Caenorhabditis elegans: one gene and its partners. The protein of the gene in region 3 interacts with the protein of the main gene of each other region in a pairwise test. Each region holds a gene or a part of one and is shown on either strand. Other genes may lie near its edges.

Region 1 (4,756 bases), about 11 Mb from region 3:
GAATTCTCATTTGCTTCAATGGAAGCTGCTTGCTGTCCTTGTTCCAGACCGATGAAGTGTTCTCCTGAAGATTCAAGTCCGATTGCAGTTGTATTTTCAACATCCCCAGTAACTTCAGATTCTTTATTTTCAGAGAATTCTTTCTCCGGTGGATCTTCCTGTACAGAATCTTTCAAGTTCTCTCCAGAATCCTCCAAACCGATGACAGCTGCTGTTTCCAATACATAACTCTCACAATTGTCAATCTGACCTTCTTCATGTTCTAGATCCGTACCGATAAAGTTGTCTCCAGAAGATTCAAGGCCAATCGCCTCTGGAGATGCATTTTCCGCATCTTCCGGAATCACAGAACTGTCAATATCAGAAGATGTCAAATTTTTCTCATGAGCAGCGACAATCTCTGCAAGACCAGAATCCTCAAGCCCAATCGTTTCTCTTTGAACAATTTCCGTTACATCATCCTGTTTGATATCTGCGCTCTCACCAGTTTCATCAACATTTCCAGATGCATCGTGTTCTTTAAGTTCAGAAAATTCTTGATCTTCTGAAGATTTCAACTGTGATTGTTTCACTTCATCTCCAGAATCCTCCAACCCAATGACATCCAATTCTGAACTTTCAATCCCTTTGATGGGCTCTGGCTGCTGTTCTGGATCCGTACCAATAAAATTGTCTCCCGAACATTCAAGTCCGATTGGGGTTATATTTTCAGCAATTTCGGTCACTTCAGAAACTTTATTTTCAGAAAGTTCTTGGTTTGTTACAGTTTCCAATGCTGGTTCTTTCAAAATATCTCCAGATTCTTCCAACCCAATGACTTCTTGGGTTACTAATTCGGAGCTCTCAGAACCTTTAATTTGTTCTGTGCCCTTTTCTGGATCGGTACCAATGAAGTTGTCTCCAGACGATTCAAGTCTAATTGGGGTTGTAATTTCAGCAATTTCAGTCATTTCAGATTCTTTATTATTGAAGTTTTCTTGATCTGGTGCAGTTTCAAGTAAAGGATCTTTCAAAATATCTCGAGATTCTTCCAACCCAATGACTGCTGGGGCTTTAAAACTTGAAGTTTCCTCAACCGCTTCTTTTTGAGATTGTTCAGCTCCTGCATTTTGCTCGATGCCTGCGTTCTCTCCAGATTCTACAAGATCGATTGCTTCCGGATTCTTAGATTCTCCAACTTCTTCGTTCAAATTTTCTGCGGTATTTTCAGAAACTTCAGTCACTTCAGGCTCTTTAATTTTCGAGAATTCTTGATTTGATGCTGTTTCCAGTGCATGCTTATTTATAATATCTTCAGAATCTTCCAATCCGAAGACTGCTGGGGCTTCGAAAGTCGAAGTTTCCACAACCCCATCAGCAGAGCTTTGAGGTTCCAAATCACTTTTAGAAGTAGAATCATACTCTTGATTATCTTGAGTAGGTCCAATTTCTGCAACATATTCTTGTGTTTCTTGGATTATTGGTATAACACCACCTTCATCCTCAAGACCAATGAAGACATGCTGAACATCCGTATTAATTGTATCTTTTTCGGATTCCAAGTCCGCAGAATAATTTCGAATTATTTGCAATTTTTCGGCTGCATCTTTGAGAACATCAGATACAGAGGAATCCTCAATTTCATAATTGTCTCCTGTTGGAGTTGGCGTCTTAGAGTCCACAGATTTTACAAACGAATTTTGGAAAGTTTCTTCCTCAGGATCATCATCCAAATCATCCAAAGTGTCATTGGAAGTCAACTTAACTCTTTCGATAAAGTCTCTTGCACCTTCTCCAGCATTCGCTTCTAGGACTGTAGTGAATGACTCAGTTTCAGTCTGTTCATCTTTTTCAACTGGTTTAAATGTAAATTCAGTAAGTTCAGCAACATCTGTAACTTCTTCCACAACGTTATCTAGTTCTTCAGATGGTGGAATGTCCTCAAAAGTAATGGTTTCCTGAGAATCAATACTCACATCTTCCATCATTGGAATTGTATAAACCAATTCAAATCGACGATCAGTTGGCTCACGGAACAAAAGATCCACTTCGACTTCCTCATCCTCAAATTCCAATTCATCCAGGTTGATTTCGGCACTTTTTGAAATGGTGTAAGCTAATTCCATTTCTGAATTCTTTGGCTGACGGAACAGTAAATCAGTTTGCACATTTTCTTCTTCTTCTTCAAAAACTTCATCATCAAGAGGTTCATTGAGAATATCGTCAGGAAGTTGTTCAACTTCCGAATGAGAACAAGAGGACCCACCGGACTCTGACTCAGGAGTTTGAAGGGGTTGAAGAGCAAGTGGCTGGAGGGATTTTGGCTCATGCTCAGATGTTGGCTCGTTTGTGGAATTTGTCTCCTCTGAAATGACAAAAAGATTTTCCAAGGAAATTTAAGAATATTATTTTTTCTAAGTGAAAGACCTTGACAAAGCATTAATCTCGACCTTTTAAATTTTGATTTTTAATTATTTCAGTGTTTTTTTGCTTTATTTTTGAGACCTATAAATGCTCCAAAAGCTCTTTTCCGATATTTTAATATGGGTTTTCGAATTTGATTTTCAGATTTTTTTCCGAAATATATCGGAATCCAAACAATTTCCACATAATTTTGTCGACTTTTTTACCTTTTTATCTTTTTAAATTTTTTTTTATCTTTTTTAATGCCTAAAAACTATTTTTTGAATCATTTTTGCGGGATGTCTAGAAATAAACTGAAAAAATCAAAAACAAAAATTTCAGAGGTAGATATCGGATATGTGCCTACTTGGATACGTGGAACATTTATTAAAGTTTTTTTTCAGAAATTTTAAGTTAAAAAAGTTATATAATGCTTTTTCTTATGAACTTCAAAATTTTCAAAATTCACAAAAAAAACTAGCAAGAGATACAATCTATTAGAAATCAAGCTTTTTCAATTTTTTTTTTTCAAACTGCATTTTTACAAACTAAATTTAAAAAAAATATGAAAAAACACTCACCTTTCGGGTCAATCCAAATTGTCTTAACCAACTCAAAATTTGTGATCTCCGGTGGTTTTCGAAAGAAAAGTTCCACATCGACATTTTCAGCGTTCATTTCGTTTTCAGCATCCATGAAGTGGTGTTTTTCGTGACAAAATTTTTTGGAGCTCACAAAAATGTGCTGACACGAGATGAAGGGACCCCGAGGAGTTCACCATGTGATTGTATACCCTGCGTCTCCGCACAGGTACATGATATTTCTGCGGGGACAGCTGCCGTCTCACCGCAGGTGATGAGCATTTTTGCTTTCTCTCGGGGTTTTCGATCATCTCGCTCTTTTGTGCTATTTTGTTTTTCTTTTTGTTGTTGCCCTCTGTCTTCTTCTCTTTCATCTCATTCATCTCTTTTTCAGCTCAAACAGAGATCCAAGTCATACGTTTCAAATGACAATAGGGGAAAGATGGGGGTGTCAGTGATAAGCTCAAAATCATGGTGGCTTCAAAATTATTTAAAGGAAAGCACTTAAAAATCTCATGAAATGCCTGCCCATGAAAGAGAAACAGTTTTTTTTTCTGTTCTCGAAGGTTTCGAAATTAGTTTTTTCAGCTTCCTTTTATTGACCGATAAATCTTGCATGGCGGTCTGTTCACCTGTTTAAATATTATGTTGAAATCAAAACAGAGCGACCGTGTTTTGGAAAACACGCAGAGAAGCACGAATGTGAATAAGAAAAAGTCGATCTCAAATTTCTACGTCATTTGTTCAAACGCATATTGACTTATTTAACAGCCACTTAATTTTTTTCGAATTCACTGCTGATTTTATAGTGCTTATTGGCAAAGGAAATATTTTTTGAAAAAAAGTTCCAATAACTGACTTATTTTTGAATTTTTTCTGACATTCAAATTTAAATTCAATTAAAATTCTGAAACTGCCAAAACAACAATATATTTTTAACATTACAAATTTATTAAATTTTTTTTCAAATTCACATAATCCAAAACAATCGTTTATGTTGAAACCCGTTATAAAAAACCATTTTCTGGTTGATTTAAAAAATGACTTTCAAATTTATGAGCCGCGAAAATTTAAAATTGGCACATCTTGATTGTAAATAAATCTTGCAATTTTTAGTGGTAATTGCACTATAGAAGATATTTTGAACAATTCTCCTACTGACGTTTCTCTTTTTAAAAAAATGAGCCAAGATATAAGCTCACAAAAAAAGAAGCAGTACTAGTAGTAACAATATTGAAAATTTAGAAAGTCTGACATCTGAAAAAGCGAAAATAAATATAGCAATATGCAATTTGTCTCGTTTTTCCATGTTATCAATTGATATCAACTCATATGTTCATGGAAAGAGTGTGGTGAGTGACGTAAGCAAACAAACAAAATTGTTTTTATTTCCATAACCTCTATTTTGAAAACTTCCAACTGTTTCCATTCCCCCAGTTACAGTCAATTGTCAATCTATAACATACAAAAATGCCAGTTTATATTAGATACGCAGACAGCTAGAACATTTAAAGCACGTGCTGTGTCGGCTGTTCAGATGTAAGAGGGGCATCTGTTGTTAATCGTAAATCACATTGACAGGTAGGTCAGAGAGTTTTGATGACGTGGATTGGGGGAGAGGGTTGGGTTTCAGAGTTTTTTGTCAGAAAAAAGTTTTGGAAAAGAAGAAAGAAGTTGATCGAGTAACTTGAGAAAGTTGTGAAATGAAATTTTGAGAAAAAAAAATGAAAATGAAACAAAAAACAAAATAAAAAAAAAGATCGAGAGAAGATAGATAATTCTGCCAATAGAAA
Region 2 (5,895 bases), on a different chromosome or scaffold from region 3:
AACAGCGAAAATTGGAATCTGCTTTCCTCTCTGTCATTCATAATTCAGAAATAATTCTAATTTCTTTGGAAAACATTGGATTAGCCTCTTAAAATGACTTCGCAACGTTTCCCACGAGAATTTGCAAAAGATTTGGGACCTTCGGCAGCGGGTGGGATTAGTGCGGCGGATTTTGACCGGATTTGCAGATTGGTGCATCGATGCAAAAGTAAACTGAAGAGAGTGGAACCCCCGAACAAGGGACTGGTGCCTTAAATCAGCGCCATGAGCCGCACCAATGGTCGGCGGCAGGTGCGAGAGGCGTAGGGGAGCCTGGAGACAGCTAGGTGTCACACCGCGGTGTGCAAACGCGCTCTGTTGAGAACATCATCAAATTTCCACATGATTACCTTCAGGGTAGGTATCTTAATACCGTACTTCCTCTTTAAAACAGTAATACCTTCCACACACACGCATAAATCGTTGCTGATAAAAATGCTAATTCGATTAATTTAGCAATGTGATTTTCCTTACAAACCCCCCTCTCCCCCCAAACGGCTACAGTAATCCGCCAGAGACCGGTCGGGCGGTGCGAATTTTACGGGGGATTATCTACAGTAACCAACCACCACAACAAAATGATAACGTGATTAGAATCGGATTAATTCGCCACATACATTTATTGACTTGACAAAATGAGAGGGGATGGGGGGGACTAGAATATAAAGAGGGGGTGGCCTGGATTTCCAGCTAGGTGGGGAATAGAGATTCAAATTATATGCTAACAAGGCTCCAACACCAAATTCTCGCTGTGCGATGTCTTCAGTGAGGCTTTTGATTCGGGCGAGCTCGTCTCTTTTCCGCTGGAATTTTCGCGTTTTATCCGTTTCACTTTTCGGGTGTCCTCGTCGCTCTCGTCACATTCGGAATCGTCTCCGCTGTGCTGAAAATGTAGAGAAATTTAGGTAAAAAAAAATCACTATTGGGTATTGAACCAAAAACTGTTGACACAAAAAACCGCGCCTACCACTGAGCCAATTTTACCGTTCTTGGCGGTGATGGAGGGAGACCGTGAGAGTACAGTAGAGCGCATTTGAAAATTAATTTTCAAAAAGTGTACTAGCTTACCTTAGAAGTCCGACTGTCGTCCTTCTTCTGCTTGCGCTCTTTTGCCCGACGATTTTTGAACCAGACCTGGAAGAGAAAATTTATTTAAAGAATATTATTTTAAAAATCGATTATTCAATTGATAAGGCACGTGGTGCTAGGCTGCCCCATTACAATTTGATCTACAAAAAATGTGGGAATTTTTTACCCAAAATTATGTGACGTCAGCACGTTCTTAACCATACAAAATCAGTCAAAAACTCTGCCACATTTCTTGTAGATCTACGTAGATCAAGCCAGCGCCGGCGGCCGAACTATGACGACGTCACTCCTCTTCCAGCGCCCCCCTCATCCTCTACAGGTTGAGATTTGCCGGGTTAAGTGAGTGAGGCAGGTGGAAGAAGATAAACGGAAGAAGAAGAGCTGTTGGTGGTGATGAAATAATTGAAAAGGGCCGACACGATTTAGGCAGGTGAGAGGTTGTAATTAGAGATTACCCCACAGACGGTTTTCCTCAGAAACACAGCTATATGGTATTATAGGGTTTAATGGACTCATTAACCCGGAATGTTCGGGTATTGTTTTTTTTTTTGCGAAAAAATAACTTTGAAATCTGTAAAAACCCGGGTAGTTGAAATCCGGGAAAACCCACTTTCGTGGATTTCAACTACCCGAGTTTTTTGTCTATTTCGCATAAGATTTTTAAAAGACCTTCAAAATGTGGTTAAAAACCACCAAAAAGCTTTAAAAATTCCGGAAAAAAACTCGGGTAGTTGAAATCCACGAAATTCAATTTCTATGGGGTTTCGGTCCCGTGGATTTCAACTATCCAAGTTTTTAAGTCTAATTCGCATAAGATTTTTAAAAAATCTTTAAAATGTTGTTCAAAACCACCAAAAAACTGTCAAAAATTTAGAAAAAAACTCGAGTAGTTGAAATCCGCGGAAACAAATTTTCCGGGAAAATGTGATTCCGCGGATTTCAACTACCCGAGTTTTTTTGTCTAATTTGCATCAAAATGTCGTTCAAAACCACCAAAAAGCTTAAAAAATTCTGGAAAAAAACTCGGGTGGTTGAAATCCGCGGAATTTAGATTTTGCGGGTCTTTTCAAAACTGTTTCAAATAATCTTAAAATTACTGAAAAGCCGCCCCAAGAGAACTACACGGCCAAGGATTGCTCCGCGCTTTTGTTAGGCCATTGAATTTTCTAGTCCCCAGGAATTTAATTTAGGCCAGCCAGTCTTACAAAATCGGTGGCCTAGGTGTGACGTCACTCCTCTTCCATTTACTCACCTCAACTCTTTCTTCCTTCAATGAGCACTGAACCGCGAGCTCTTCTCTCGTCGTAGCGTCCGGGTAGTGTGTCGTTGAAAATGTGGTCTCCAAAATGTTCAACTGCTCCTCGCTGAAAATGGTACGATGCCGGCGTTTTCGTCGGGAGGCGTAGTGTTGATGGTGATATGGAGCCATGAATGGAGGCATTAGTGGTCCGCAGAGCATTGCTGAAAAATTTTAGTTTTTGAACAGTAGAGCGCATTTTCAGCATCGCTTCCTTCTAGTTTATCACGTGGTGTCAGAGTGTCTCATTTCGGCTTGATCTTCGTTGATCTACAAAAAATGCGTGAGAAGAGACGCAGAGTTCTCAACTGATTTAGCATGACGTCACGATTTTTGGGCAAAAAATTCCCGCATTTTTTGTAGATCAAACCGTGATGGGACAGCCTGGCACCACGTGGTTTAGTTCTAATGGAGATTGTTATTGAAGCATGTGCGCTCTTTTGATAAACTACCGGTGTATCGACGTGGGCGATATTGATTTTTTTAAAAGTTCTTATCCAAATTCGAATTTGCGATTTTTTGAAATTACCGACAAAACGAAAAATGCGCTCCACGTGGGCCACACAAAAACTTACAGAAAAACGGATAATTAGCCGGATGAAACTGCCATGGCAGGGCAGAAGCCGCCGCTGCGGCTCCCACTGCTCCAAATGGATCTTGAAAATTGTGAAGCTGCGGAATTCCGGCCAACGGGTTCGAGAGCAATGTGTCAATTGAGAATGAGGTTGATGTGGACGGAGAGGAGGATGACGAGGAGATACTGGAAAATTGGGATGTTCCGAGAGGATTACACATGGAAAAATTTTGTTTTCACCCCCGTGGCCTAGAATGTCTTCAGAGGAAAACTCTTCCATGAAAAGCCCTTCACATATTTTTTAAAAATATTCCTAGGACACCATGAAATTTTCTAGGAGGATTTTGATTTTCAAAATGGAAGAGTTTGCAGAACCAGGTCATTTTGGCTCGGCCATATCTGGGGTAGATTTACGGCGCGTTGCGTGTCGCGTCGCGGCTTGAGTTTAGTTGTAAAACTAAGTGCATCTGTCCGTGTGGAGTACACGACTTTCCCACGCGTTGTCAGGCGGGCGATTGTCAATGGAGCACGAAAAATTCAATGAGAAACGCCAGAACACCGTGAATTTTCAAAAAAAAAAACAATTTAGAAATCTAAAATTTCAGGTAGAAATGGCCCCGGTGTACTTCTCTCGGACAAGTAGTGCAAAATTTTGTTTAGAATTTTGTATAAAAAATCTTGAATTTTCATTATTATTTATGGCAGTAAGAAAATTCTTTTTTTTTAATAAGTTGTCCGAGTGGAGTACGAACCTATTTAAAAAATATTTTAAGTGAAAAAAAAATGTTTAAAAAATGGAAAAACTTTTGAAACAAGTTTTGAAACAAAAAATTTTTGAAACAAAAAACTTTTTTTTAAAACTTTTTTATTTGATTTTTGCTTATACTAAATTGTACTTTACTAACACTACAGAACCCCCTTTAAAAGCCCCCCAAGGCTTCACACGAACCAAAAAAAAAAGGAACCAACCTTGCAGAATTCGGCGTCACCAATTTGTTCATAGTTTCAGGTGTCATTAAAAACGGGAAGGATGCCATGTGTCACACCGTAGTGGGGGATGCGATTCTTCAGTGTTGTTCCCCTCGTAGATCATCAGTGCCCGCCCACTTTTGTGCTTTTGGCGGTGATTGGGCCGGCACGCCCACTTTCTTCGTCGCGCGCCGACGTTTGGCGCAGTGGGGAAGAGAGGAGAGAGGTGTGAATAAATAGAGATTGAGAAACATTGAGGATCCCCTGCTTGTATCGGTGGCCTAGAATTTCGAATTTCAGTTTTCCGTTAAACATCGTGCCGGAAAATCGAAAAGTGTATAGAAATGACGTCATAAATGTATTTAAATACATTTCGAAAATCCTAGAACGTCTGTGGTCTAAAGCCTAAAACAAGGATTTCCTCGACTACAAGGACCAGGATTTGGCTTAGATTTTCCAATTTCTAGGCCATTGGGGTTTTCTAGACTACCAAGATTTTGTGAAACATATCTGAAAACAGCTTAAAATTGAAAAATTAAAGAGAACCCTCAAAATGAAGATATTCACTTGTCCGAGAGGAGTTCACACATTTTATTTTCATATTTAATAAGGCCTAGAATTTCGAATATCAAATTTTAAAATTCTAGGCCCCTCAGGTTTTTGTATTTTTGTACATTAAGATTTTGGTGTACAATGGGAGTACACATTGGAGAATAAATTTTGCAATTATATAGGCACGCGGTAGGCGGAGGTCGTTTTGAAGGCAGGTGAATTTTTTTATTTTCCAAGTTCAAATGTTGTTGGTTTTTAGAGTAGGCATGCGTGTAGGCAAAATGAATGCCTTGATAGGTACAAGGCAGGCCTTGAAGGTAGACCATGGTAGGTGGGGATAGGCTTTGATAGTCTTAGGGCACATTGATTGGTACAAGAAAAGTAATTGCACGTGGTGCCAGCCTGTTCCATTGCGGTTTGATCTACAAAAAATGCGGGAATTTTTTCCCGAAAAAACGTGACTTCAGCACATTCTTAACCATACGAAATCAGTTGAGAAGTCTCGTAGATCTACGTAGATCAAACTCTGGCGCCACGTGTAATAATAGGCACAAGCCATGCCTTGATAGGCTCAAGGTAGGCATTGAAGGTATTCCATGAAGGCAGGCATGCCTACTCGCTCTTACCCAGATATACATGTCATGGCAACTAGTCAACCTGTATACATACACACCCGTCTCTCCATTCTGTCAATTAGTTATCATGATTTACTGCCTGACGGCGGCGCGGCACAGTGTCAAGAATATGTAATATGTCTCTGTTTCTCCAATTCTCATGTCCCTTCTTCGGGCGAGGGTTTCAATTTGGGAAAGGTGGTGTGCATTCAAGTGTGAATATCTGTCGGTGATCCTTCCTTATTTTCTTACTTTTCATATCTGATCGTCCTTATTCGGATCATTCCCCTTATTATACACAGGTGTCCCTTCAGAATGGGGCGGCTGAAATTGAATAAGGGGGTCTGGAAAAACTTAGGATTAGGCTTAGTATTAGGCTTAGGCTTAGGCTTAGGCTTAGGCTTAGGTTTAGGCTTAGGCTTAGGCCTAGACTTAGGCTTTTGCTTAGGTTTAGGCTTAGGTTTAGGCTTTTGCTTAGGTTTAGGCTGAGGCTTAGGCTTAGGCTTGTGCTAGGCATAGGCTTAGGCTTAGGCTTAGGAGTAGTGTTAGAGTGTTAAATTTACCCTTTTTAGGATTTTTTACCGCAGAACTTAAGAGAATTCATCAAAAAAAAAAAGTTTGAAAAATTTTTTGTCCGAGTTTTTATTTTAAAGATTGACTATAACTGTTCTTGTGGTCTAAAATTCTCTAAAAACTCTTCCACGAGTCAAAATGTATAGATAATGACTTATACTCACCTAAAACTCTTTCAATACAGTATA
Region 3 (5,843 bases):
CGTATACCTACAGTACTCCTACAGTACCACTACAGTACCTTGACATTATCCATCACCAACTTCCAACCCAATACCTCTTCTGTAGACAAAAACTCAATTTTTCCTAAACTACAGTAACCCTACCGTATACCTACAGTACTCCTACAGTACCACTACAGTACCTTGACATTATCCATCACCAACTTCCAACCCAATACCTCTTCCAACTACAGACTACAGAGTTCAAAGACCAAAGATCAAAGATCAAACTACATAGGGACAGAAGGACACGCGCTTTATATATAGTAAATGATTTGTATGTTTTTTCTTTGGAAAAGTGTCTGAAAATTTACAAACATGTATTAAATTTAGAACAAAAAATCCAGAAAAATCATGATTTTAGCCAGAAAACGCGAAAATATAAAAAATGACGTCACTCATTTGCGTGGGAATTTAAATTCAGTTTGGCCACATTTTGATATAGGCAAAATTCAAAAAAAATGTTAAAAACTTTTTAACAGTTTATTCGGTCATGACGGTCGTTTTTCTGCCATTTAAAGTGAATTTCAATCGAACACAAGTGTCTTGACTGACAATATTCATGAAATAATCTTCTAATATACCGTAAATGTTTTCAACAAAAAAATCATCAATTAAAATAATATTTATTAGGTATGTACATTCCGAAAGCTCGACAAGAGGAACAGGCAGTATTCAAAAAACAACACTCTAATAAGATTACAAAAACATTGTTTTTAGTTATTAAATTTGTGATATTAAAATTATTTGCAAAAACTTTTCTTTTAAAAAAACTGAGAAAGAATGCCGGGAACTTGAGATCAATGGGATGATGATGGTGAGAAAGAAGAGGTAAAAGCTCATGAGAAAAAACTAATTTTAACGACTACAAGTATTGTGGAAAGTTGGTCCTGAAGAGGTAGATGTGCGGGGATCACAAATATTAAATATGCATTTCTTGAGCACTACAGCTTGTCAGGAATGCCTCCGTAAAGATGGTTGTGTCGGAGACTTGTGTTGTAGAATTGTGAGGATGACATGTCAGATTTAGCGTAAAGTATGTCTGCCGGTTGGTATTTGGGTAAAGATCGGGAGGAACCTAAAATTATTAAATTAATAAAACTTGTTTAAACTCAAGCTAGATTCAACTTACCCAAACAGCAAATAGCATTTTTCCACGACGATAGAGTTTTGGTGCTGCACACCCAAAATCCGGACGTCCATCCCAAAATGCACATACAGCAAGTTTTGATAAGGGAGATGATCAGTGAGGAGTCGCCTGAAAATTTAAAATTTATGAAGAATAATAGGGGGGGGGGGGGGGGTTCAAATTTCAGAAAAAAAATTTGGCGAGAAATTTAAAATTTTTGAAAAAAAATTATTGACACTAATTTAACATTTTTTGAGGAAAAAAATTTGGCGGAAATTCAAATTTTCTGAGAAACTTTTTGACAGTAAATTTAAATTTTTTTCTGAGAAAAATTTTAGCTGGAAGTTCGAATTTTTGAAAAGGAAATGTGGAAAGAAATTCACAATTTTTGAGGCAAAATTTTGCGGAAAAATTAAACTTTTTGAATAATTTTTATCATGAAATTCTAAATTTCAGAGAATATTTTTGGCGGTAAATTCAATTTTTTCGAAATAAAATATTGGCGGTAAAATCAAATTTTTAAAAAAATGTTTGCGGAAAATTTGAATTTTTGAGAAAAAATGTTTGGTGGAATTAAACAAATTTTTGGGAAAATTTTTAGAAAACTCGTTTTTTAATTTTCTAAAAACAATTTTAGCGAGCAACTGAAATTTTTTAATGTGAAAAAAATGTTTACTGGGAAATTTAGATCAAAAATTGTTATAGTTTAAAAAAAAACTCACCGATAGTTTGCTTTGGCGAGCATGAGCACAACTGCGATTGCTCCCATAATGATCGATGATTCTGCTCGTAGAATAGAACACAGATAATCAATAACGATGGAATTGTGTAGAGCAATGAGAAAATCCCGATTTTGCTCATCAACTGCGTGATTTTATGGGCACTCTCCAGTGAAGGATGTTGCTTTTGTACTTCGTTTCTGATACTCCACAAATTGCAGAATCCGATTACCAAGAACAAAACTCCAACGATGAAATATACGAGCAATGGGAAAAGCACAAAGATTCGTTGGAATTGTAGATCAGTATTTCCCACGTAGCAGATTCCAGTTATCGGATCACCATCGATCGCATTAAAAACTATTACCAATACAGTTTGAATAGCGGGAAGGCACCATCCGACCACGTGGAAATGGAATGAGAACGAGGAAATCGCTTCGGGGGACCACTTTGAAGCGGCCGACAGCACCCAGGTTAGCGAAAGGATCACCCACCAAACCGAGGCAGCCATTCCGAAGAAATAGGTGAGCAGGAAAACGACGAAGCACAAGGATCCAGAGTTATCATCAGCCCCCTTAATCCTCATCGAGTCGCATGCGATCTCCTCGTGGCCCACGAAATATCGAATCATGAATCCGACGGCAACCATGAGCTGACAGAATGCCAACATGAAGATCGGACGTTCGGGGTATTGGAATCGATCGGTCTCGATAAGGAATGTGAGGAATGTGAAGGAGGCTAGCACGCAGCATGTGATGCTCCAGAACGCCATCCAGTTGCTCACCAGGCTATGACTCTCGGCCAACGCTGGGGAATGGCATGAGTAGGCGCAATTTGTTACATTTCCAACTTTGGACTTTTCAGATGCCACAAACTGGAACGGTTGGTTACAAGTGCACTGACACTCGCTGGGACCGGCTATTACTTCATTGTCGATCTTGGAAATTCCGACTTCTGGGCCATCTGGACTATAGTTATGATTTTGATTTTGATTCTGGTTCTGATTCTTATGATGATGCCCCTTGTGCTGCTTCTTTGGTGTATCTGGTGGAGCTGCACAGATGTTCCCAGTCGACATCTGATCCGACATCTTTGGCAGCGCCTCGCAAGACAGTGTCTCGGGCCATCTGAATCCGTACTTGGCCATTATTGGACTGCACTTGCTGCGTGCCTCCACACAAAGTTCCATGCACGGGAGAATTGGTTTGTCGTAGTTTTCCTGGCAGATCGGGGTGTACATTGTGCAGAGGAAGAATTTGAGATGTTGGAAACAACCGACCTGGAAATATAAATTTTTTTTTGATTTTTGGAAGAAGGTAAGTTTTTCAAATTTACTTTTTTCTTGATTTTTGCGAAAAAAATTGTGAATTTGTCGTAATTTAGAGCCTAATTCAATTTTGCGTTTTTGCAAATTTTGAGCGCGAAATTTAAATTTGGATTTTATTTAATTTAGCTCAAAATTTAAATCTAATTTTTTTTCAACAACTTTGGCACTAAATTAAGGTTCACATTTTTTTAGTATATAACAAATTTAAATTTATAATCTTGTTTAAATTTTAGCGCCAAATTAAAATTTTAATTTTTAAATTTTTGGCGGAAATTTCAAATTCAGATTTTTTTAAATTTTTGGTGTGATATAAAAATTTCAATTTTATTTAAAATTTAGGGTTGAGTTTTTTCAAAAATTTGGCGCAAAACTCATTCTGAAAAATTTAAATTTTCAGCGCGAAATTCATATTCGGATTTTTTTTTCGAAAATTTTAGCGCCAAGTTAATTTTTTTTTCAATTTAGCGCAAATTCTAAATTTGGTGTCTTTCGAATTTTTAGCGCGAAATTCAAAATTTCTCAATTTGTGGTGCAATATTCAATTTTTGTTTTTTTCATTATTGCAAAAAATATTTCCTCATAGAAAATTGTTTAAAAAACTCACCTCCACCAGCGGATAAAATTGATGAACTTCCAATCCGGCTTCTTCCTGTTTTTCATGTCCATAACTATTCGGGAACGATGTCATATTGTAGCCAATACCTTTGCATAGAGGAATTGTGATTTGCTCACATTTTTGACGTTTTCCAAAAAGAGCCCCACAGGAGCCAAGCAATAGGAACAGCACGCTGATCCGGAGTAGCATATCTAGAAATAAAATGTTAATTTTGAAGTTAAAGATATTAGAAAAGGTATAAAGAAAAAGGAAAGAACAAAAAGAAAAACAAAAAAAAAGATAAATGAAATTTGAGATTTAAGTAGCTGAAGGTGGAGGAGAATAAGAAGACAGGAAAAGTACAAAGGATGCGCTTCCTCCTGAGGAGGGAGGATCGGTGTCAAGTTACGGGAGTTCTTAGAGAAAATGATCCGTTAAAACACAAAAAAATCAATATCCACGTAGCAAAACTGTGATCGCTTATCACTATTTACCGAGTACTACTACTATCATGACACAATACACACAAGAGCTTTGACCTAACATCCAGTGATCAGCTATCGGATCGGTATCAAAAATATAAGAGAGAGAGAGATACCCAAAGAGCACTTTTTCATCATACAGAGCATCAAAAGCATCAAAAAACCAGTAAGGGGAAACGATTTTTTTGCGGGAAATAGTGGAGGATATGTGGAGAGAGTGTTTGCAGGCACTCGAAAAATATATCCAACCAAGATATATCGGAAAGGTCTTTATCAAATTAGATATGTTTTTAGCTAAATTCTCTATATTTAGATCTGGGATGAAATCTGAAAAAAGAATATACAAATTTATGAAAATGAGAAATAAATAAGGCTCAGGATACGAGAATTTTGTTACGTGCTGGGGTATGTAACCTAGTTGTGCAAGCATAGGGGTCTCAAACGGAACACGAATGGAATTCAAGGGGTGTCAGGTTGCATAAGAAGAGCCTAGAAAGAGGAGATATGTTTTGACTCTACCACCTCCAACCAACAACTACTGAAGTTATGTACATATATATGAATGAGCTGGGGGAGATGGAAAGGGGGAGGAGAGAAGAGTGTGCAAATAGGGGAGGGCAAAGTGGTGGCTGGCAAGGAGTTGGAAAATTTTGGAAGGTGCTAAAAGGAGGAGGTGACCCCCACTGTGAGCAACAACAGGTGGAATGGAGGATGGGTTAGAGATGTGGATAGGGCTGAAATTATTATAGGTGGAGTAGCGCCAGTAGGGAAAGTGTTAAAACTACTGACTTGGTGCCAAAATAGCCGAATATTAAGATAAAACGTTTCAAAAACTTTTTGAAAATTTTTTATTTACTGGCAAAAAATGACAATTACTCAATAGGCAAAAACTCATAATTTTGGAAATCGATCAAAATAAATTTTTTGCCCTACATTTTCATACTTTAATTTTGTTTTATTTGTTTGTATTAAAACATTGTAGGGGTCGGAACATGCGACCGGAAATTATTTTTTTAAAAAAATTTTAAAGAGTATTGGCATGTGTTTTTAAAATGACCAAAAATTACAGTAAAAGCTTTTAAAAAATTTTTTTGGAATTTCTTAATGCACTGAAATAATTGGAACAAATTGCATATTTTTCTTCAATTTTTATATTTTAATTGTTTTTTTTATTAATTGTGGAAATTTCCCAAAAGGTACACATTTTTTAAAAATTTGGCAATTTACGAAAACTGACTGGAATCTTTCAAAAATCTATATTTTTTGTAGTGTTTTTACTGATGTTTGGTCATGTTAGACAACCTTCAAATAATTTTAATTTTAAAATCGCAAATCCTGAAAACTACTAGAAAAAAAGTTCCGACTCTACGAAAAGTTGATTAAAAATTAAAAATGTACTGATAAATTATACAAAAATTTAGAATTTTTCCGATACAAAAACAAGTTTTCGAAAGTATAATTTGTTTTTGAAATTAAAGAAAATTCTTTTTTTAAAACTATTTTTAAAAAAGTTAAAAATGTGAATAAATTCAGAAAAATATTCAAAAAATGGTACAAAATGTTGAAAACAAAT

The links.
Region 1: the proteins of cfz-2 (region 3) and ret-1 interact in a two-hybrid assay, tested with the Caenorhabditis elegans proteins (one large-scale study listed by BioGRID).
Region 2: the proteins of cfz-2 (region 3) and ceh-45 interact in a two-hybrid assay, tested with the Caenorhabditis elegans proteins (one large-scale study listed by BioGRID).

Annotation. Positions count from the first base shown.
Region 1 is NC_003283.11:14,844,253-14,849,008, forward strand, and holds the start of ret-1 (Reticulon-like protein), read right to left. Parts: upstream 3,061-4,756; coding exon 2,964-3,060; intron 2,345-2,963; coding exon 1-2,344.
Region 2 is NC_003279.8:1,126,500-1,132,394, reverse strand, and holds ceh-45 (Homeobox domain-containing protein), read right to left. Parts: upstream 4,072-5,895; 5' UTR 4,037-4,071; coding exon 3,969-4,036; intron 3,186-3,968; coding exon 3,001-3,185; intron 2,590-3,000; coding exon 2,381-2,589; intron 1,174-2,380; coding exon 1,108-1,173; intron 923-1,107; coding exon 761-922; 3' UTR 630-760; downstream 1-629.
Region 3 is NC_003283.11:3,440,878-3,446,720, forward strand, and holds cfz-2 (Frizzled-2), read right to left. Parts: upstream 4,001-5,843; 5' UTR 3,999-4,000; coding exon 3,798-3,998; intron 3,146-3,797; coding exon 1,870-3,145; intron 1,277-1,869; coding exon 1,151-1,276; intron 1,097-1,150; coding exon 963-1,096; 3' UTR 627-962; downstream 1-626. UniProt on the Caenorhabditis elegans protein: Receptor for Wnt proteins.